Elephas maximus indicus: one gene and its partners. The protein of the gene in region 2 interacts with the protein of the main gene of each other region in a pairwise test. Links are inferred from orthologs where the notes say so. Each region holds a gene or a part of one and is shown on either strand. Other genes may lie near its edges.

Region 1 (6,978 bases), on a different chromosome or scaffold from region 2:
TTTTTAATATTACTTGACCAACCTCCTTGGTTGTGATCTCATGCCCCTGCCCCCTCCCCTGGCCTGTCAAAATATTTCTTGAAGTCTTACATATCACTCTCCCCAATTGAAACTCTCCTAAATATATTTTTCTCCTGGTAGTTATATTTTAATGATACTGCAGTGTCCCTTATAGCTTGGCTAACAGAGTGACCTGCTCTGACCAAACAGGCTGGGTGGCTTTGTCTTGGGTCAATGTATTATTTAATTCAGGGAGTACACATGCTAAAAATAGCTCAAGTCCCTCTCCCCTTTCAGGGACACCAGGTCTTGAATCATGAACAATGATCCTGTTGCCTTTCTTTTTTCACTCAGCAGAGGAACTGTTCTTGTTTCTTCTTTTTTAAAAGAAAAAAAAAAAAAAGCTCCTAGGGCCACGGGTTCTGTGGGGAGAGAAACTTGGCCCTGACTTAGACTACCTAAGTTTCCAGCATCTTCTCCAGATAGGCAGACCCCCAGAGCAGGGGCTGTCTCTCTGCAAGGGGCAGAAACAGGGACTGTGAGCAGCAGGAAAAATATTCAGATCAGGCCTGTTTTAAATTCTAATCTTCTTAACTTTTTATAATATTCATTTCCCCTTCTCCTCCAGCTGCCAGCCTTTGCCACTGGAGGTATAAGCTGACGTTTTCTCCAGGGGAGACCCCTAATTTCCGTGGCTCCATAACAGAGTGGTGACAATTTAAAGGCCCACACTTCCTCCCTTCTTCCCCAGCCAGCGTCCCCCTTACCCTGGCCTCAGCTCCTTCCTGCTCCTTTCTCCGTCCCCTCTCCTTTTATCTGCAGCTCTGAGGCAGACAGGGTGGTTGCCAAATTCCAAGCCTGTGTTTGGCCTATTTGACGATGAAAAGGGCCTGATGTTCCCGCCAGAGGTGATTATCAACATCCTTTACGTGGCAAGAAGAGTCTGGAGCCCCTGGCAAGGCCGAGAGGGAAACACTCCTTGAGAAGTGTGCAGGAGCCGGGGGGTCCCCCTCAGACTCTTTGCCCAGTGCCTGGGGGTTTTCAGTCTGCTTCCGTGTTTAGCAAGAGAAGTGGCTGGGAGGGTGGGACACAGCCTGGGAGCCAGAAGAGAGAGGCTGGGAAATGGAAAGGAACTTCATAATACAGTAACCCTGTAACAAGGATGGTCCATGTAATGTGTGGGTCCCGCTGTGAAATGAAAACATGGGACCTCTTGCTCAAAAAGTGGTAAAAAAGTGCCATTAAAAGTTGTTGTTGGCTGCCAATGAGCCAACTCTGACTCATGGTGACCTTATGGAAAACAGAACCAAACATTGCCTGGTCCTGCGACATTCTCACAATCTCCACTATGTTCGAGCCCATTGTTATGGGTGCTGTGCCAATACATCTCACTGAGGGTCTCCCACACCCTCAGTGGCCCTGTACTTCACCAAACATGACATCCTCCTCCAGTGACTGAGCCCTCCGGATGTCCACAGAAAGCGAGTTGGGCAACGTACTGTTGTGATCCATCAGGTTTGCCTCGCTAACTTTCGGAAGTAAATCACCAGGCTTTCTTCCTAGTCCCTTTTAGTCTGGAAGCCCCACTGAAACCTGTCCACTGTGGGTGACCCTGCTGGTATTTGAAATAGCAGTGGCACAGCTTCCAGCATCATAGCAGTATGCAAGCCACCGCGGTACAACAAACTGACAGACAGGTGGTGGCCCGTCAAAGGTACTAAAATAGAAAGCTTTTTTTTTTTTTACGTATTGAAATGATAACATCTTGGATAAAAAAAAATATATGTTGCGTTAAATAACATATAATGTTAAATTAATTTCACCTGTTTCTTTTTCCCTTTTTTTTTTTTTTACTGTGGTGGTTAATAGAAACCTGGAAATTACCTCCGTGGCTCATGTTACATTTCTTTTGGACAGTTTTGTTATGGGTGGATAGAGGAACACGCTTCCATTTTCTCATCGTTTTTAGTACCACATCCATTCAGCGGTATTGAATTTGATGATGGCTGGAATCCACTCGATGGCACGTAACAACAATAAAGGCTGACACAGGCGGCCCAGGGTAATGGGACAAGTGCAAGCTTTGAAGATGGAAAATTTCAGGTTCAAATGTCAGGTTCAACTCCCAATTAGCTGTGTGATCGTGGGCACGTTTCTTAACTTCTGTGATTTTGGTTTTCTCATCTGAAAGATGAAATCCATGATGGAGCCACTGCCTACACTGTGAACATTATAGGAGAGAGCGTGCATACAGGAACGAGTGTGGGCCTGGCCCCTAGTGAACCTCGGTAAATAGTAGCCACTGTCACTGTTGTTGTTATTATTATCATTAGTAGTATTTTTTAGCACGGAAGGGTAAAGGTCTGCGGTCAGTTTCTGGGCCTTGGATCACTCACTCCCCTGTCCCCTACCCCAGCCCTCGGACTCTCTGATAATGACCCCAGAGATGGTACAACAGGCAGCCTTCATTGTTCCCTCCAGGCCCTCTGCAGAGGTGGCCCGGCCCAGGCACTCACCTGCTGGCAGCTGCTGGTCCAGGAGGCCCTGAGGGCACCCCAGCTTCCCGAGCCCGCAGCCTTGCTCTCCAGGTGCGTCCGCAGTTGCCTTTCCAGCTCCCGGATGACCTGCTCCAGGGCACGTACCTTGGCCGTGTATTCCACCAAGCAGCCCCCCAAGTCCTCAGCAGCATCGTGGTCCCCCTCCAGGCCAGGAGCAGGCACAGAGGGCAGGCCTGAGCTCCGAAGGCCCTGTAGGAAGACACTGCTGATGCCCAGGGCTCGGCAGGTCACGTGGGCACCCTGGCCACCTATGTACCCGGTGGGTGTTGTGCCTATATAGATCAGAGGTGATTGGACCAGGCTACCCCCAACATTGGCCCTGGAGCCCAGGGCGCTCTCCAGGGGAGATGATGACTGAGTCCCCCTGAAGGACGCCCTGCGCCTGTGGAGGGACATGCTGAAGCTGGCACCGGTGGGTGCGTCCACCACCACTCGCCTCTCGCTCATCACCCCTTCTGTCTCTGTGGGTTTACACAGTCCAGTGGCTTTTGGAGTCCAGTCCCAGTGGCCTGGTCACAGACCTCTCTGGAAGCTCCCCCGCCCCCAGGCTGCTTTGTTTGCTACTTCCATGAGTTTCCATAATTCGCTGAGACAGGCCCTGCCCAGGGCTGCTGCAGACAGGCACTCAGGCATTCTCTGCAGGACCACGTGCCCAACCTCCTAGCTTGTTTAGCTGGTGTGGGGGCGGGGAGGCTATATCAGTGCAGGCTGTGGGGGTGGTTCATCGGGGGGTTCATGTAATTGGGCCACATGTGTTGACAGGCTTTCACTATCTAAGAGAGGGCAAGGCAGGTCTCAAGCAGCCCCATTTCACAGATAAATAAACTGAGGTACAAGAGACCTTAGCTCATTAGCGAGTGGTTTAGCCAAAGCTTCATCCAGGTGTTCCAGGCCTCATTTCAGTGCCTGTTTGTGCTGCTGGTCTGAATGTGCACATGTGTCAACAGGTAATAGAGGATGAAAGTGGATGAAGGCCAGCATGGGGGGAGGCAGTCCTGGGGGCTCAAGAGAAACCAAGCCAGCTTGTTGCTTCCTTCACCCCCCTCAATCATAGCAGCAGCTTCATGTCCCTCCCTACCTCTATCTTCTCTTCTTACCTCTGCCCTATAGCCCCCTTCCTGGGGGCAGGGTGGGCATTCTTGTCTCTGTGTCTTTCAGGGATGGGGAGGTGTCCTCAGAGAGAGCCTGGGGTGTGGAGGGTCCGTCAAGGTAGATGGGCTCTAGCTCTGCTGTCCATCAGCTGCAAGCTACCTCACTTCTCTGGACCTTGCGTTCCACACGCTGGCCTGACGCACGAGATAAGGGACCTTGAGCAAATCTGGGTCCCACACATATTGGATACTTATTATGCTACGGATGTTTTCCATACCTGTTTCCTCATCTTTTGGAAAACAAATAAATAAGAACAACAAGGAGAGTGGTTTTCCAGTTAGCTGTCTAAGGGAACTCAAGTTAGGATTCAGTAGTCATCCACCGAGGCATGCTGTCGTGGATCACCCTTCTGTCACTTCTCCAGGGCCAGAAAATAGCCCCAGGGCATGACAACCTGGACCTAAACCCATTGAACTTAAGTCTTACTCTGGAGAAACCAGGTAACCAAAACCCAGAGCTGAATTATTTATCCCAGACCCTGCAATGTGGGAACAGACTTGAAGTGAGTGAGAGAAAGGGAAGGGAACCAACTTCTAGTGAGTACTGAACCCACCCCAGTAAATGGGTTCCATGCTTTACTTCATTGACTTCTCAATTCAGTTTTTGGAGGTAGGTACAGGGTTGACGTGTACCGCCATTTTGGGCGCACTGCACAACTCTAGAAGTATCATCACATGCCCTACAATTGGCCAGTATTCCCATTTTATGAGGGCCCTGAGGGCTCAATGACTTGCCCAAGGTCTCATCTCCAGAAAGGAGCAGAGCTGCCTCTTCTGACTTCCAGTCCAGTGACTGACCCAGGCCCTCTCTGTCTCCCACCACTAGAGAAGGGTACCTATGCAAGGTCCCACAGGAGTTAAAAACCTTACTCACCTACAAGAATATCCTGTGTGCTCTTCTTTGCTGCTCATTAGGACAACACCATGCTCCCCCGCCCCCGCTGCCTTTTTCTCTTTCTTCATCTATCTGAGATGGCATAAAAGGCATTTTATCAAGGTTGGTTATTTGATTAACAGATTAAGAAACCAACTTGATCAAGCAAAGGCTGGGGGTATCCCTTCTTTAGACTTGGCCTTCTTGCTGTGAGTGCCACCTCTGGTGCACCTGATGTGGTCATGGCACAGACAAGCCTGTGTATAATAACATCTTCCCAGTGTTAGTTTTTTTTGTTTGGGTAGTGTTAGTGATAAGGAGCCCTGGTGGCACAACAGGTAAGTGCTTGGATGCTACTGGAAATGGTGGTGGTTCGAACTCACCCAGCGGCTTCGCCGGAGAAAGACTTGTTGATATGCTGCTATCAAGATTACCCAAACCCCCAAACCCAAACCTGTTGCTGTTGAGTCAATTCCAACTCATAGCCTATAGGACAGAGTACAACTGCTCCATAGGGTTTCCAAGGAGTGGCTAGTAGATTCAAACTGCTGATCTTTTGGCTGGTAGCTCTTAACCACTGTGCCACCACTGCCCCATCAAGATTACAGCCAAGAAAACCCAATAGGGCAGTTCTTCTCTGCCACATGGGGTCACTATGAGTTGGAATCGACTAGATGGTACCCAACAGCAATGTAGGAGACACTGACTGGCCTAAGGATCTGCATTCTTGTGAATTCCAGGATGTATCAAGGCTAAATGAAGGGTCCAAAATATGGGTGAAGTTGTTGGCAAAGGTGATATGTTTAGGCACTGTTATTCTCCACAGAGTGGTGACCCTCAGTGGCCAGGTTAACTTCAGATTGCTCTATCCTGAAGATGTTTACAATGACTCCACAGAGCCCTGGGAGGGGTAGGATGAGGAGGTGGCCCATCTTAACTGACACCGGTGTCTCCAAAGACCTAAGAGAGAGGATTCTCTTTTGGAGAAATCACAAACATATTCTAAAGGATTTGTTTTCTCAAATGATAGACTGCTAATCCTACTAGCTCATCACACTCATTAAACCCAATTTGCTGTTAAATCCAATTAAAAAAAATAGAGCTAGGCACAAGGTGATATGGGGACTCCTTAAGGAAGTTACGTTAAAGTGAAAAGAACACAAAATGTATTAACAACAATCCTCTGGCTAATAAAATAAGTTTATTTATATATACATGGTAGCTGAATTCTGTGGATAAGGAAAAATAAGTCATACATCCACATACGTATATATAACATATGTACCTTTGATTACATATATTATATATAAATTTTACTTTACAGATTTCTCTCTCCACACACACACACACACACACACACACACAGATATGTTAAATGCAATAGCTAACAGAAATATCATGATAAGGTTAAAAAGGCCAGACAGCAGCATGTTAGAGAATGGATCTCAGAGCATTTAACCTGCTTCTTTGTAGGTCCAAGAGTCTTTGAAGAAAGACAACAGTCAAACACAGGTTAAGTAAGTTCATACAACATTGAGAACACACATTTTTGAAGGCCATATATATATTTTAAAAACTGAAACGTAGGAAGAAAGGAAAAAGTCATGATCAAAAGACCACAGCAACGACACTAACATGTAAGTCAACATTCAAGTTCAATTCCCAATCTGACTGTAATAGCATCTATATTCAAAATATACTATCAAACTATTTCTCTTTTAGAGAAAGGAAACGTGAAAGCAGTTATCTTCTCTCCCAGCCACTGGCTATTAGAAAAAACAATAGACAGGCAGCCCATCTCTGGAAGTCCTTCTTGTATCTCCGAGGGTCTGACTCCTGTTGGCCATGCAGGACGCAGTATGGGGAGGGAGGTGCAGGCAGCCAACCCCAGACGGAGGGGATTATCGTCTACAAAACACAGAGCTGGAGGACCAGTCATTGTGGTGACCCCAACGGCAGATCTGTAACACCGACTGGAGGTTAAAGGGCATCTTCTCTTAAGCGATTCGCTTTAGCAATCTCGGTTTTTTAAGATCGCAGGAGGAAGGTTCCTAAAATTACAGACCTACCCCAAACATGTTTTCAGGGACACAATAAGATTGCCTTTTGAGAAAACAAACCTCCAAACCCTAATAAACATTTGCTGGTGGGCTAGGTCTGCATCTAAACCCTCTAGAGAAAAAGGCACGAGGGTTTAATGCAGATATGGGCAGTGGAGGGGAAGCAGGAACGAACTTAAAGGGGAGACTTTTCCATTAGGAAAAGGCAGCCCTGTAGCTGGCACAGTGCATGCTCACGCTGGCTGCCCTGGAGGCCCTGTTGTGTGATGTTAGGACGTGGACGCCTTGATGTCCTCCATGTGATTCCTGAGGCTGCATACTCCTGCTGCCTCCGT
Region 2 (7,846 bases):
CATGCCTTCAACAAAATAAAGACAAGTGGTGCATGAATTCAAATATAGGTCTTATCAGGTGTGACTATAAAAATTACTGTACAAGGAACCAGAGATGCAATGTATCCAATAAAAAAACACTATACTAAAAGAAAACTTTGAAACAAATTCATTGTCCTTTGAACATGAGATCAGAAGCATTTAAAGTTCACATTAGACAAGTTTAAAGAAATAGAAATTTTTATGTAGGCTGTACTGGCAAAGATTAATGCCTCTTAGTTTACATTCCCTTAACGTCTTTCATAAAGAGTTTGTTAGACAACAACTTTTGTATGGAAGTAAACTACTACTACACTTTTACAGGCCTCAAAGAGATCTATAGCAAGTAGAACAAATTTATGAATATGGTTTGGAGTAAAGCAGGCAAATTCTCAACCAAAGCAAAGCATCAAATTTTCTAGAGAAAAGAGTAACTTAGGGAAAATAAAAATAAATGTTTGGATCGTATTCTCGTTTCAATTCAACACAATTATGAAAGCCTTCAAGTGCAATAAGGATACTTGGTCTTTCAAGAAAGCCATATAATAATGTCATGAATTAACTTGAAAACTATCCTAATACATTCAACTATCTAATCAACAAATTTTCTCTGCATTTTACCCTATAGAATTTGTAGTGGTACACCATTCACTCAAAAATCTATATTAGTCTGCTATTAATATAGGCCAATTAAATATGCATTTTCAGTCAGTCAAAACTTCATTAATAAGACAATCCAAGCTAACAATAAACAATTCTTTAACTTGGTAAAACGGGCCATCCGGAGGCAAGCAATAAGGTTAAACTTGGCAAAAATTAGTACATTTTTCAATCTGGGATAGAAATACTTTTTAAAGTTCAATTTTATGCTTCCTATTGAAGAGAACCAATAATACAATGGCATTATACAGAATGAGTTTAGGCATATATTTTAAATCCTTCAAACCTGTTGCAAAAGGAAGCAGTGATTTCCCCTGAAGTGATTTTATAAGTATTATAATACTCTGGTTTTTATTCTTATCTTTAAATAATATGTCTCAAAATTGAAAGAATATTACCAAAATGATTAGCATTTAATTGACGAGACAATTTTATTTTTGACACTTGTATAAAAGATTCCCTCACTGCGTCATGTAAACTCACCAAATATTTATATTAAACATTTCTGACAGGTGACAAGAGTAGATTTTAATCACATCTCTACTGTACCTACAGAATACCTGAATGTTTACAATTTTTAAATGAATTTGAAAAATTCAGAACACGAAATTAGAAAGTTTAAATCATTCCTCAATGTTGATTTTTATAAATATTCCATTACTGAATCAGAAATACCTTCTGTAAATAATAGGATAAACTTTTTTCATCCTGGCATTAGAGTATGACTAAACTTTAAATTTCTAATAGCCACACCATAAAAATAAAAAGTTCTCTAACTTTTAAAACATTTAGAAGTCTTGGGTCTTAAGGCTAAAATGTTAACAATAATTAATCAAAAGTCCTCAAGTCTTCATAAATATTTTTTGGTCTTTGGCAAGTAACCAAGTTTAAAAGCTATATTCTACCTTTTAGCAGATTCCATTAATAATTGTTCCATTATACCAAGCTGAGTGTTTAAAGTAATGCTCTTTGTAAATCATGACAAGCATGCTAGAATTTTTTTTTAAATATTGAAATAACTTTAAAAAATTAGTTCTCCATATACTGAAGGCTTTAAAAAATAATTTCCATAAATTGGACAAATGCTTTATTTTCTTAAGAATTAACCGTTATCTTCAACACAGACGTCTGCTGTGTCTACTTGACCACAGGCATTACTACCAGTTCCAGAACAAACTTGTATAGCTAGAAAGTGTTCCATCTAAGATACAAAATATTTCCTTTTAGAAAGTAGGCAAATAAACATCTCTTCAGGTTGTTTTTCATTTAAAATTTGCTTTGAATTGTAATTGAAACCAAACAGTGAGTTGATCCGAACAGAGTAAGGAGCTCATTTCTTTCAAACCCAATTTTACTAAGACATTTATGCAAGTTATTTATCAGTTAGCCTAGTTAATAATTAAAAGAAGAGCTCTCATGCAAACAGATTAACCATGGGCAACCCATCCAACTTTATGCTGTAAGTATTTTCGATTAATTCCTTTTATTTTCCTCCCCGTCTGAAAGCGTAATAGATGCAAATGATGTCCAGAAGCAAAAAACAAAAAAAAAACAAGTGACTCATAAGAGCAAATCGACCCAAAAACGGTACAGTGAGCGCTTTCCCACAATCTCAGGCCGCACTAACTAGCCAATTTCTAAAAGGAACTGGAGGAAAAAGAACTCAGCGTCAGACGCCTCCCAAACCGTTAGAGAAGCTTTTCCGCATTCACTCTCTCCGAGAACCAGGTTTTCATTTACACTGTCCTCACTCACTCTACGGGAGAATAATAACATCCACTGCCGTCGAGTCGCTTCCGACTCACAGCGACCCTATAAGAGAACAGTTGCAAGGAAATCTAGTTTGCAACCGGTCCCTGCAACTAAGTCTGTGCAGCCATCCTCCTCCCTCCGCCGGGAGGCGGCAGGGGCCGGGGTTCCTCCCCCGGCCTGAGCCGCTCCCGCTGCCTGCAGCTTGCTGCCCTCGGCGGCCCCCGCCCTTAACTACAGGGAAAAGGGGGGAGGGGCCGTACGGTTCCCACGCTCTGCTCCCTCAGGTCACTACTCACTTGTTCAGCCAGGGTTCGCAAGGAGCGAAAGGTTTCGCAGAGCGCCTCTCGGCAGAGGCTGGGGCTGCAGCTCCGCTCCGAGCTCCTGTCACTGCTGTTCGGGCGACTAAGCTCCGTGGCGGCAGCAGCCATGACACCTTCCCCGGCAGCCCCCACCACTACCCAGGCGCGTTCGCAGCCCCCTCCCTCCAGTTTTTGCCGCTCGAAAATGACGTAAAAACACCGCGTCTTATTTAGATCGTGGTTTTTAGGCTCCCACCGTTTCTGTGTGACTGGCAAGCACGGGCACCAATCAGGTGATCAGCCAGTGTGGCGCGGTGCCTAGAATCGGGAGCCGGCAATTGCTGACCAGAGCGAGGCCGGATGTTGTATCTGGGATGGTGATTGAAGCAGGGGTTTAGAGTTTGCGTCTTGAAACGTACCTTGACTATTAGATGGTGTTTATGAATGTCGGTAAGAGGACATTTATCATTAAATGTTAGAGTTCGAGCCTCAGAATTACAAGTTGAAATTTTAACATGCCAGTGTGTAGTGGTCTCAGGAGAGATCGGGTTCAGGTCTAGGGCGGTGTCCGCACGTGTTTCTAAACGTTGGATAACTCACACAGAATTACCATAACTGGATAGAATGTGCTCATCTCTACAAGCTTGTTTAATACTTACACAAATTAACGCCAGTAATTTTTCATGCGGGGCAAAATGAGGATGTAAAAACAAAAGTGTTCCGTTGTGCCTTCGTTTTACTACCAAAGGAATGACAATAATGACTTTAAATCTGCAAATAATTTATATCAGGTTTTAAGACGTGCACCAGTTGCTAGTTTCTGGGTGGTGCGGTAGAGACGTTCAACCCTAAAATTGTTTCAAGGAAGTGCAGTGGTCACTATGATTCCAGCAGGAATTTAACCTAAGTAATTCCATGCAACACAAACTTTGAAATTAGGACATAAAACTGAATTAAACTTTGACCAAGTGTTATTTATCAAATAGCTTTATTATAAAGAAGCTCGAAGGACTTTGTAATCTTTCAGGCAAAGTCTATCACTAAAAAAAAAATTGTCCAACTGAAAAAATAAGTCTTAGAAGAAAGTTCAAAAACACTTAAAAAAAAAAAGCAGTATCAATTTAAAGACAAGAGACAAGGGACTTAAAACTCTTAATTCTAATAGTCTAATGCATTTACAGTACAGGGGACAAAGATGGAAACTTGTACAATGTGTATTCTTCAGTTTTAGAGGAGGCTGAATGAAAGGGAAGGAATAGGGCATCAAGGAACTGGGATAAGGGTAACCAGCTAACCGATAAGGGTAGTAGGGTTAAAAGAACCCTTTGACCTGTCCCTAGGGAGCCTCTTAATTAGGCTTTTATTTCCAAAGACTTGTGGGATCACCAGGCTTGACAGGATCTTAAGAAATCTTGCCTGTTCCCTTGTTAGCAGACAAGATATACAGCTGATAGTCCACTTATGTCTAGAGATATCCAGAAAAAAATTTCACAGTATCTAATTCCAAATTGAGCAACCCTCTCATTTAAGTCTCTCACCCCTTCTCTAACGCAAATATATGATTTCTTTGCAATGTTAGAATATTTTCTTTGACTCTGGTCCTCTAGTTAAAGGAGAATATTGTAATAGGTAACTACAAGTTTTTGTTTCTATAGCAAATTAACAACCAGTTTCAGGTCATTTATTATCTATATATGAGATTTTTTTTCAAATATGTAGATTACTGGTATGAGACACATTTAGAAATATTTTGTACATTAAAACAATACCATCCTTAACAAGATTTTGCTCATTCCTTTCTTTGCCATCACTGACTTTGAAATTTCAAGTTTTATTTGTTCACTTGAACCCCTAATACAAAATTAAATGGTGCCCATTTGATTTGTATTATCTCACTTCTCCATGTAATTTTGTGTTTGATATCTGGACTTCTACCTTTATCTTAGTATTTACTTTGGTAATAGTTGGGATTTGTTAACTCATTTGTAGTGTCTTCTTTCCAGGGATCTTTCTTATGCCTTCCTGAGGCATATTATTTACATTTTGGAAATTTTTCTCATTTCTTTTTTCCTTCTTATAATAGAAAATTCCATTTTAAATAGAAGAGTTCGTAGGCTGAAAAGATGTGGATTCCTTTGGCCTAACCTTAAATAGATATTTATAGATATTAACGTGTAACAAAAATAAAATGAAAGCTATGCAATTTAGAAAAGAATAAAGGAAATAATTTATTCTTTATAGGAGACTAATTACAGTTTATGAACTGGGTTGCTAAAAAATGTGCTGCCTGGTGGAAATGATTGAAAAATGTTGGTATTGGTGTTAGCTACAGAGTTAGAAATACTGTCCTGTGAGTTTATGCCAAGAATCAGTTGGAGAGGATAGAAATTATAGGTGAAAACTAGGCTATTTACCTTTTCAACAAAAATGTTCTTTATGATGAACTTTAATTCAGAGCACTATATGCACTTAACAGTTGTTTGCTGAGTGAATGTTATATAGATCTCTCCTAATGCAGAAAAGGCAAAACAAATAGTGTTTGTCGTCTCTGGCTTCCCATCACCTACTGGCGAAGTCCGAGTCCGTTATATTGTCATCTAAGATCCTTATAACCTGACTGTTGCCTAAGTTTCCAGCTTCATTTTCTACCACAAGCCATCTGGTACTTAATGCTCCCCAAACTGCTCTTCTTTATAGCCCTACGATTTCTTGTCTCCATTCTTTTATTCCTGCCTGTTGCTTCTGGTTTGCTTGGAAAACTCTCCAGTTTTCAAACTCCAGTTCAGAAATCTTCTCTGAGAACTCTTTCCTCATACCTCTCCTCATAGAGACTATGTAACCTCTGCTATACTTCTCCTGAAACTCATATATACTTCCATTATTGTACTTAGTGCTTCGATATTGAAATTTGAGTACAGTATGTATTGCTATTTAACTATGAGTATATTTATCATGTTCCTGTACTTAAGACTTGACATAGTTCCTGGCACATAGGACAGAGCAGAGCTGTCCCATAGGGTTTCCAAGGAGCAGCTGGTGGATTCGAACTGGCAACCTTTTGGTTAGCAGCTGATCTCTTAACCACTGCGCCACTGGGGCTCCAGGTGATTTATATGTATCATGTTCCTGTACTTAAGACTTAGCATAGTTCCTGGCACAGAGTAATTGCCCTATGTATGCTTATCGAACTAAATTTATTTGCCTAAGGTAAACATATTTGTAAAATGGAAAAAAAGAAACAAGCTTCCAGTGTTGGGGGAAAATTATAAAATATAGTAAGAATGCTATAAACAATTAATTTAAAATAATGAAGCATGTCTGTCATGGATTGAATTGTGTCCTCCAAAAGTATGTGTTGACTTGGTTAAGCCATGATTCCCAGCGTTGTGTGGTCGTCCTCCATTTTGTGATTTTCCTATGTGTTATAAATCATGATCTCTGCCTGTGGTTAAAGAGGATTAGGATGGGATATAACACCCTTGCTCATGTCACGTTCCTGATCCAATATAAAAGAAGTTTCCCTGGGGCGTGGCCTGTACCACCTTTTATCTTACAAGAGATGAAAGGGAGGCAAGCAGAGAGTTGGGGACCTCATACCACCAAGAAAGAAGCACCAGGAGCAGAGCATGTCTTTTGGACCCAGGGTTTGTGCGTGGAGAAGCTCCTAGTTCAGGGGAAGATTGATAAGAAGGACCTTCCTCCAGAGTCTACAGAAAGAGGAAGCCTTCCCCTGGAGCTGACGTCCTGAATTTGGCCTTCTAGCCTACTAGACTGTGAGAAAATAAGTTTCTCTTTGTTAAAGCCATCCACTTGTGGTATTTCTGTTATAGCAGTGCTAGATGACTAACACAATGCCTGTTTATCCTCCTTTGGGGCAGCAAATTCAAAGTGCTTCAATTTTTAAGTAAATATGTATAAATAGCCTCCATAACCATTCTCATGAATGATACCATATAAATTAACAATTGTACCTACTGTATGCCAGACACTTTGATAGGCCTTGAGGGTACAAAGATGGATCAGACAAGGAACCTCCCTCAAAGAGCTAGGCAGTTATGTCTAGTGGGCTAGGCAGATATATCTACCACCCACCTGTCAATTTGTCATACTGTGGTGGCTCGTGGGTTGCTGTGATACTGGAACCTGTGCCACTGGTATCTCAAATACCAGTAGGGTCACCTATAGTACATAGGTTTCAGCAGAGCTTGCAGACCAAGACTAGGAGGAAAAGCCTGGCAATCTGCTTCTGAAATTAGCCAGTGAACACCTCATGGATAACAACAACGTCGTCTGACTCACTTGCTTAGGACACGTCACGAGGAGGGATCAATCACTAGAGAAGCACTTCATGTTTGGTGAAGTGGATGGCCGGCAATGGTTAGAGAGACCCTCAGTGAGATGGATTGGCACATGGCAACAACAGAGGACTTGTACATGCCAGCAATCCTGAGGATGATGCGGAACCAAGCAACGTTTCGTTCTGTTGTACCTAAACTAAGGTCACCATGAGTCAAAATCAACACAATGGCAGATAGCTATCTAGGCAGATTTGTAAACAACTACAATATTATGTAACAATGACCATATTAAACCCAAAAAAACCAAACCCAGTACCGTCGTGTCGATTCCGACTTATAGCGACCCTATAGGACAGAGTAGAACTGCCCCATAGAGTTTCCAAGGAACGCCTGGTGGGTTTGAACTGCCAGCCCTTAGGTTAGCAGTTATAGCACTTAACCACTAAGCCACCAGGGTTTCCAATGACCATATTAGAGGTATGTATGAAGTAATACAATTGATTGTTTCCTTTGGGGAGGGTACTGAGGTTCAGTGTTCGGAAAAGCTGTAAACAGTTACTGTAAAACATGGATGGAGCCTCAAACAATGAGTAAGACATCTCAATTTAGAGAATACATTATGAGCAGCAACTTGAACATTCTTGATGTGTTCAGAGAGGATACAATGAATAGAGTAGTATGCTAAGCCAGCATTTCCCAAAGTTGGCTGAACCCTAGTCCTGCAAGATGCTTCTTTTAACAAAAGATTCCATGATCAAATAAGTTGGGAAAACATTACAGTAATAATTGAATAATTGTGATGCTGTCTCATGCAATGGA
Region 3 (7,639 bases), on a different chromosome or scaffold from region 2:
GGGCTTAGAAATCAAACCAACCTAGTTCAAATTCCAGCTCTACTTTTTGTTGGTCATATGACATTAGGCAAATTAATTCAAATATCTTGATTTTCCATTTCCTTATCTACAAAATGCTTATGTGGTTAGTATTAGATGAGAGTTTCTGACACATAGTAGGTACTCAGTAAATAATTCCAAGAGCATCAAAAACTAATTTCATTTATTTCCCAGTTTTGCCTTAGGCTAGTCCAGGGTAAGAGGAATGGAAAGCTTGAAGAGTCGGAGGGCATCTTCATTGAATCTGTGAAAATGTGTGCACGTGGATGGTTGGGGTATAGGGTGGAGGTAATTTTAACTGTAGAACTAAATTCCTTTCAGAAAGCCAGGACGCAGTCTAAAAACATTGCTTACATTTGAAAGACACTTCATGGTTTTTTCCCCTGACAGACATATATTATAATTAACAATTTTTATGAACAATAAATTTGAGAGTCAGAGACAAAATGGTGAACTGCCCAAAGAGACAAAATTAAGTGCCACAGAGGCAGTTAGTAGTGAATGGAACTGGGCATTCTTGTCTCTTGACAGATACAAATACGACAAATCCCTGCATGTTATGATTTAGAATCCTAGGTGCATACCAAGCTTCTAATCCTCCTTTTAAAACAACAGAATGGCAAAGCCAATTGAAATTAAAGTAGGTTAAATATTTTAATATTAACTACTCAACTGATTGATTCTGAAGTGGTTTGTACCATCTAAAAATGTATATAATATAGGCCTATAGTTGTTTGAAATATGTAGACAGTAGTAGATTGAGGTAGTAGCCTATGAAAAAATTTAGATTTCATAAGATTTAGAAAATGGTTAATAAAATAAGTAAATGAAAAGGAGGTGGCACAGGCCCTACAGTGAGTTAGTGGGTGAGGACATATCAATTGTTGAACCTGGATTAGCCTAACCTTACCAATGAGGCCTTTTAAAAACAGCTTAGGCAGAAGAATTTTCACTGCCAAATCATTTTTTATCACTGCAAAGTTCAGTTAACTACTCCAGTGAGATTCTCCTAAATGATATTCAGAACATCACAGGACGAAGCAGCAATCAGTTCCCTATTATTCTTTTAAAGCACATTCTTGCTTCTATTCAGTTCCTCTTGTTCTGCCCCTCCTAGTACATTTCTTCTGAAGAATTTAAATCATCTCTAGCCGCTTTAAGGTTATGTACATCAATGAGGTAAGTTAGGTTATAAACCTTGCTAAAATGTACTGCTTGCGATCCTTTCTCATAGACATTTTCCTTGATCCTCCTCCCTACCCCCACAAACAACAGCTATTTGGCTAATCATAAACCATTTTATAACAGACCTTGTTATTCAAATAAATCTGTGATACTTTATAATATTTCCTGGATAGACATTTGAAAACCTCTGTATTGGGCAAGACTTTCTCTTTATTTTGTAGCAGATCTAATCAAATTCTGACCATTTCCTAACGTGCAGCATGGCACTAGTAGATTGATTTCTGGAGGAGTCTCTTGACTTCAGAATATTTTCTATTGATTCATGTGAGGCCAGAAGTACTACCAAAACAATATTTCTAACATATAAGCTTCTTGAAGGCAAGGGCCACAGTTTACTTGATTTTGTACATCCAGTGCCTTGGCACCGTGGTTAAGAGCTCAGCTGCTAATCAAAAAAGGTTGATAGTTCAAATCCACCTGCTGCTCCTTAGAAACCCTATGTAGTAGCTCTACCCTTTCGTATAGTCTCTATGAGTTGGAATTGACTTGATAGCAATGGATTTGGTTTTTGTTTTTAATCATGTCTGGTACATAGTAGACTCTCAATATGGACTAACTGAATGAGCAAATTTGTACAAAGACTCTACCTCATAGAAACGTAATAGTTTCAGATAGAACTAGCACAGATATAGCAGTTGTCATTATTATATTTATTGAATAACTAATTTTACATAGTCAGGTGCTAGAGTTTATAAGGAGAATATTAACACCATATTTGTTCTCCTTGAGAATAAAAACTCTAAAAACAAACATGAAAAGATTTTAATTTACACAACACATCATGCTTGCTATGTGCTAGCCAGTGTTCTAGGCACTGGGGGTATAACTGCAAATAAAATGGACAAAAATTCCTGCCCTTGGAGAGCTTACATTTAAGTGTGATGGCAGGCAATAAGCAAAATATCTATTTTCTTAGATACTGATAAGTGCTAAGTCAAAAAAATAAACCATGGAAGTGGGGAAGTGATGTAGGAATGTTGAAATTTTAGATAAAGTGGCCAGGAAAGTCCTCATGCAGGTGACTTTTGAGTAAACAGATGAAGGAAGAAAGTAAAGACATGAAAAAAAAACATATATATATTTCTATAATAGCTAGGACAAGAAAGGTAAGGTTGGAAGGCGATAGGGTTGTATGAAAGGGTAGACCTTACACAGATCCATACCTGATCTGCTTCTGCAACCAGCAGTCAGTTACTGAGTCCCGCTACGGTTACACGCCAGTGCTTTGGACTCACTCTATGCAGTATGCCCGGACAATCCTTTGGTTTCAGTTGGTAGGAATGCTGAGGGAACCGCTTGTCGATTCAAGCAGAACACAAAATACACTGAAATGTGTCAGGTGGGAGATCACAAAGCCACTTCAGTGGCTTTTGTTTTAATTCATACGTCCAAATGAAAGATACATAATACTGTAAGAAATTACTATAATTATTGCAATATAATTAGAAAAACAAGTAACAGGAAAAGTGACGCAAGTGAATTTGAGGATCCGGAAGAGATTAAGGAAGGTTAAAGAAAGAGAAAAAAGGCCTCCCCCCAGTAAACTCCCCCCCCCCCAAAAAAAACACAACCAATAAACAAAAATGAGAAGCAGAAATACAGCAAGGTCCCAGTGCGGCCTTCGGGATAGATTAAGCAATGAATTTGGAATAAGGGGGTTGCGTGCGTGTGTGGGACTGGTGGGGTGGGGAGGAAAAGGTGGTGGGGCTTGCATTGACGTGTAAGATTATTTTGAAGCAAACAGGAAGCGCATCCTTATATTAGAGAAAGGGATGCACGGCAGTAGGAGAGTGAGGTGTGTGATTCTGCCATGTGCATCAGAATATACTAGTATCTTTGACTTCTGTAACCTGTATTTTCTTAATTTACCAAACTTTCTTCTTAATTATGTTTCATTTTTGTTTTAGAAAAGGCACACAAAATGTCTTCTGCTTAACAAATGACAGGCTCCCTTCAGGCGTGTACTTGTAGTATCAAAGATAAACTGACCTGACTGTAAGAGGGCCATGCATGGGAAAAACAAACAAACAAAAAAAACCTTTTCTCAACATTGGTTTGAAAAAGTGGAAAGAAATCTCGATTCAGCTATTCAGCATCTTCCTCTCACAGGTTGTGCTGCCGACTCTGCGCTCATTGTCCCCTGCAAGACTGCGGTCTTTGCTGCCTCAAAAGAGCGGCCTGAGTCCTCACCCCAGCCATTCAGAAGTCAGGGCGAAACAAGTGCGCCCAGAGAGCAAGGTGTCCCCCTAGCCTCCTCGCCCGGCTCAGGACCGAAAACGGGCACCCGCCTCGCGCGCATGCTCAGTCGGGAGAGCGCCCTGAAAAGGCGCGTCGGCTTGGGAAGCACCCCTGCATGGTTATCCCCTGAGCTAAGGAGGTGCAGGGAGGCTCCACCCGGCTCCACCCGGGGTGCCCGCAGCCGTTTCGGGCCGAAGCCTATTTTCTTGCCTTGGGAGCGTTGTTCCTCCCGCGTTCCAAGGGAGCGGGGCGGAGCCGGGCTTTTCCGGGTGGGGTGGAGCCCGACCGCCGAGGGCACCCTTGTTAAAGAGCCTTTCAAGCGTCTTTCTGGAGCGCGCGAGGGGATTCTCCTCCGGGGAATGGAAGGCCGCACTCCTCGGAGAACACACTCCCTGAGAAAATGCCGGGGAGATCACTCTTCTGCGCTGCCCCGACCTCTCTGTTTTAAAACTAGCCACAAGCTAGGGCAGCTTTAACTGCCCTAGAGATATGCCTATTAATATTCAGCGTCCTCCCAGCGGCCTCCTCCCCGTTGTGTCCAGCGGGCCCCCACAGGCTTTTCTGAAAATGGGCGCCCTCAGGTATCTCCGGGAAGCGTTGGCCTCATCGCCCACACGTCCATTCCAGCTGTTCTCCGGGAAATTACCCCAAGTGAGCCGGGCTGTCTTGTAATAAACACAGGCCTGTTTTCTGAGTGTGAGCTGGCGGAGCTTGGGGTGGGGAAGCAAGCCTGGGGGGTGTCGGGATAGCAGCAATTCGGGATCAGTGTTCCCGTGTCCTGCCCTCTCCGGCCCACCCTCTGCCCCTCACATGGCCGCCATGAGGCTCCTCCACGGCGGCTGCAGCCGGTCCGCAAACACGCCCACCCGCACGCTCACACTCACTAGCCTCGGGTTTTTTTTTTTTTTTAAGGGGGAATGTACTGAGCATGCTCTATGGGAGGGGCGGGGCTCTCTCGGGCCGCGCGTCGGGGCCGGCGCTCCTTCGGCCGGCTCGGCGCCTCCGCTGCCCGCCCGCCCGGAGCCGCGCCCGGCGCAGGCTGCGCCCGCCCGCCCCGCCCCACCCCGCCCCGCCCCGCCCCCCGCCGCTCGTCCCCGCCGCGGCCGAGCCGCCTGCAGCAGCAGCAGCGGCAGCAGCGGCAGCAGCAGCAGCAGCGGCAGCAGCTGCTCCTCCCCGGCGGCCGCCCCCCGCGGGTCCCTCCCTGGCTGCGGGAGAGACGGAGGTTGAAGGAGGACACAGCACCGCGCCGCCTGCACCGGAGACCTTCGCTGCGCCCTACCGGCTCCTCACTTTCTGGGAGGAACATGGGTAAGTCATCCTTCCTTCCCCGTCATCGCCTGACATTTTTCTCTTCCTCGCCGTGCTGCAGGGTAGGAAGTATTTTTCGCGCAAAGTTGCCGGATATCTCAATTCCACGGGTGTGAGACGGTGGCTTTTCCTCCGGGGAGAGTCGGCGCACGCGGGACGCACGCCGGGCACCCGGACTGGGAGGGTCCCGAGTGCGGGGTGGGGTCGGTACGCGGGACCGGACCGCCGCCCGGCTCGGCACCTCACTGCCTCGCCTCCCCTCCTCCATTCTTCCTGCCCGAGCCCGGGCACCCCGGAGCCAGGCTCGCCAGCTCGCATCCTTTGCCCCGTCCCCGTTTCTGTGAAGGCCGCCTGCTACCTTTTTCCCACGTCTTCTGGGCTCGAGGTTCCTGTCCGATCGGGAGAAAGACCACTTAATGGAACTCCCCTGTCAGCACGACCTTTCCTTATTCTGGGGACTGCTCATCCCGAGGCGGGGAAATGTGAGCACATAGTTTGTGAGGGCTATTTTACAACCTGCACGGACATTTATTTTCGATGGGGGAAAGCGGACAGCCTCATAGGTTGAAACGATGACTTGTCAGAGGCCACGAGGAACGTGAGGAAAGAGAGCTGCTAGCTGATTTGAATTGGTGTGGGTGACTACAGCGTGCAGTATTCCTGTGCTCAGCCCATGTTGTTGGTGAACTTACGTGTTATTCTTTCCTAGTTTGCTCTGCCTAAATCTGCCTAATCTGATTTTAGTTGTCTTGTATTTATAGTTAATCTCAAGAGGTTGGTTTGGATGAGATATTTAAAAGCAAATACAAGTTTTGTAAAAATACGTATAATTCATCCCTCAAATTTTAATCCTATTGCTTAACTGTTAAATGCCGTAATTACAGATGAATTCTGTAATGTTAGTTAAAAGCCTGAAGTTTTTTTGGACTGGGTGAGCTGAGGGGATGTATTAACTTGGAATACCATACTTCTACATGTTCCCCAATTTGCTTTCACTCCTGTCGATCATAATTCCCTCTTTTTAAATTTGCTCCATGGGCATCTATCAGCTGGACTTTTCCCACCCCTTTGTGCAAGTTGTTTAAGCTTGAGATGCACGGTTCTTTTATCTGTTAGTAGAGTTCTAACAACATGTTCAGAGTTAGATTATGGCAATTCAGAATCTCCAAGGAAATATCTAAATCTAGATATGGTGTCACTGAAGATTACTGGAAAAGCAGATGTTCCAAGCACTGATTCAGAGCTTCGGCTGTATGTCAGGAAGAGGCCAGGGCTGCAGGGTAAGATGGTTTGAATGAAAAATGATTGTTTTTTCCCTTTTAATGTAGGTGCTGTTGGTACACTGAACAAATTGTAAAAATAGGGTGGCCCATTTATATGTGACAAAACTTTGTGGTTCAGAAGGTTTGAACCCACCCAGCAGCTCCATGGAAGAAAGGCCTGGCAAACTGCTTCCATAAAGATTGTTATTAGGTGCTGTCAAGTCAAGCACATGTGACAGAGTAGAACTGCCACATACGATTTTCTTGGCTGTAATCTTCAGGGAAGCAGATTGCCAGGTCTTTCTCCTGTGCAGCTGCTTAACCATTTTTGCCACCAGGGCTCCTCCGTAAAGATTACAGAAAAGAAAACCCTTTGGAGCAGTTCTACCCTGTGACACACAGGGTCTCCATGAGTCGGGGGGCCAACTCCAAAGGCAGCTAACAACAACAACAAGCTTTCTGTAGGAGTAATTTTAAATAAATAATAAATCAGATTATTGCATGTGTTGTGCCTTGCCCTTGAACTTACCCCAATTTTCTTAATTACCAAATCTGGCCTGTGGAATACATTTCCCCATGTTTCAGGATGAGTTTAAAAAACCCATTTAATTAAAACTTTACATGTTCAGTCAGTACTTTTTTGGGGGGGAAAATGCTCTTATAACGTTAGTGACTAAAAGTAGTTAAAACAAAGAAAATTATTTATTTAAAAATAATTAATTTTGAAAAATTTTGAAAAAGTCAACTATAAACCCATCTTTCCCTGTGAGGCCTTCTCAGGTCCGCTTTGACTAAATTAACCTCTTTCTCTCCTGATAGCTATTTGTAACTTGTTAGAAGCTTTTTAGCACTTACATAATCTGCCTTATATTAGAGTTGTTTATGTGTGTGTGTGTTGTGCATTTAATCGTGAATTCCAGAAGGTGAAAATTGTCTTACTAATCTTTGTGTCTTCACAATGCGTTTCACATAGCAGGTATTCAGTAAGTCTTAGCTGAATTAATTGTTGAACTTAAAACCACGTATCTGTTATTTTTTTACCTTTGAGCCTGAAAAGTATAGGCTCCAAACAAATATTTGGGTTATTGGATATGTCAAAGGGGATATGAACGTATAATTGTACTATGTCTTTCCTCTCTTTAAAAGAAAAAAAAAAAAAAAAGAGTTGGGTTCTTACCCAGGTTGTTTTGAGACAGCCTCCAGGGAAGCCATATCCTTCTACAATGTTGCTTTCAACGATAAGGCGATTTAGCGTGCCATCAGTAGGTATATGCAATAACATAAAATTGAAACCTTGGAAAGCAATTTTATATTCTGAGCCAAGGAAATTATAAAGATTTGTATACAGCATAGGAGGTGGAAGGCACACTACTGATGGTAGAAAAAAAATCACTTTTTAATCTTTTCTTCTCAAGAAATAAGGTAATTAAAAAAAAATTCTCATGGCATTGATTTTTCTACCCAAGAAAGTAAAGGAAACTTACTATATGACCTTTGGACCATGGCAATTATTTTATGTATATATTTTATTATAAACTCAACATGTA

The links. The genes of interacting proteins can lie anywhere in the genome.
Region 1: the proteins of MBIP (region 2) and BFSP2 interact in binary tests that used the Homo sapiens proteins (3 or more experiments, as listed by UniProt). The two-hybrid records come from large-scale screens. The link is inferred for Elephas maximus indicus from reciprocal best matches to the Homo sapiens genes MBIP and BFSP2.
Region 3: the proteins of MBIP (region 2) and RAP1GDS1 interact in binary tests that used the Homo sapiens proteins (3 or more experiments, as listed by UniProt). The two-hybrid records come from large-scale screens. The link is inferred for Elephas maximus indicus from reciprocal best matches to the Homo sapiens genes MBIP and RAP1GDS1.

What each region holds. Positions count from the first base shown.
Region 1 is NC_064844.1:46,439,300-46,446,277, forward strand, and holds the start of BFSP2 (phakinin), read right to left. Parts: upstream 3,006-6,978; coding exon 2,517-3,005; intron 1-2,516.
Region 2 is NC_064828.1:48,670,974-48,678,819, forward strand, and holds the start of MBIP (MAP3K12-binding inhibitory protein 1), read right to left. Parts: upstream 3,018-7,846; 5' UTR 2,859-3,017; coding exon 2,727-2,858; intron 1-2,726. UniProt on the Homo sapiens protein: Inhibits the MAP3K12 activity to induce the activation of the JNK/SAPK pathway. Component of the ATAC complex, a complex with histone acetyltransferase activity on histones H3 and H4.
Region 3 is NC_064823.1:55,404,068-55,411,706, reverse strand, and holds the start of RAP1GDS1 (rap1 GTPase-GDP dissociation stimulator 1), read left to right. Parts: upstream 1-4,634; 5' UTR 4,635-4,826; coding exon 4,827-4,830; intron 4,831-7,639. UniProt on the Homo sapiens protein: Acts as a GEF (guanine nucleotide exchange factor) for the Rho family of small GTP-binding proteins (G proteins) that stimulates the dissociation of GDP to enable subsequent binding of GTP.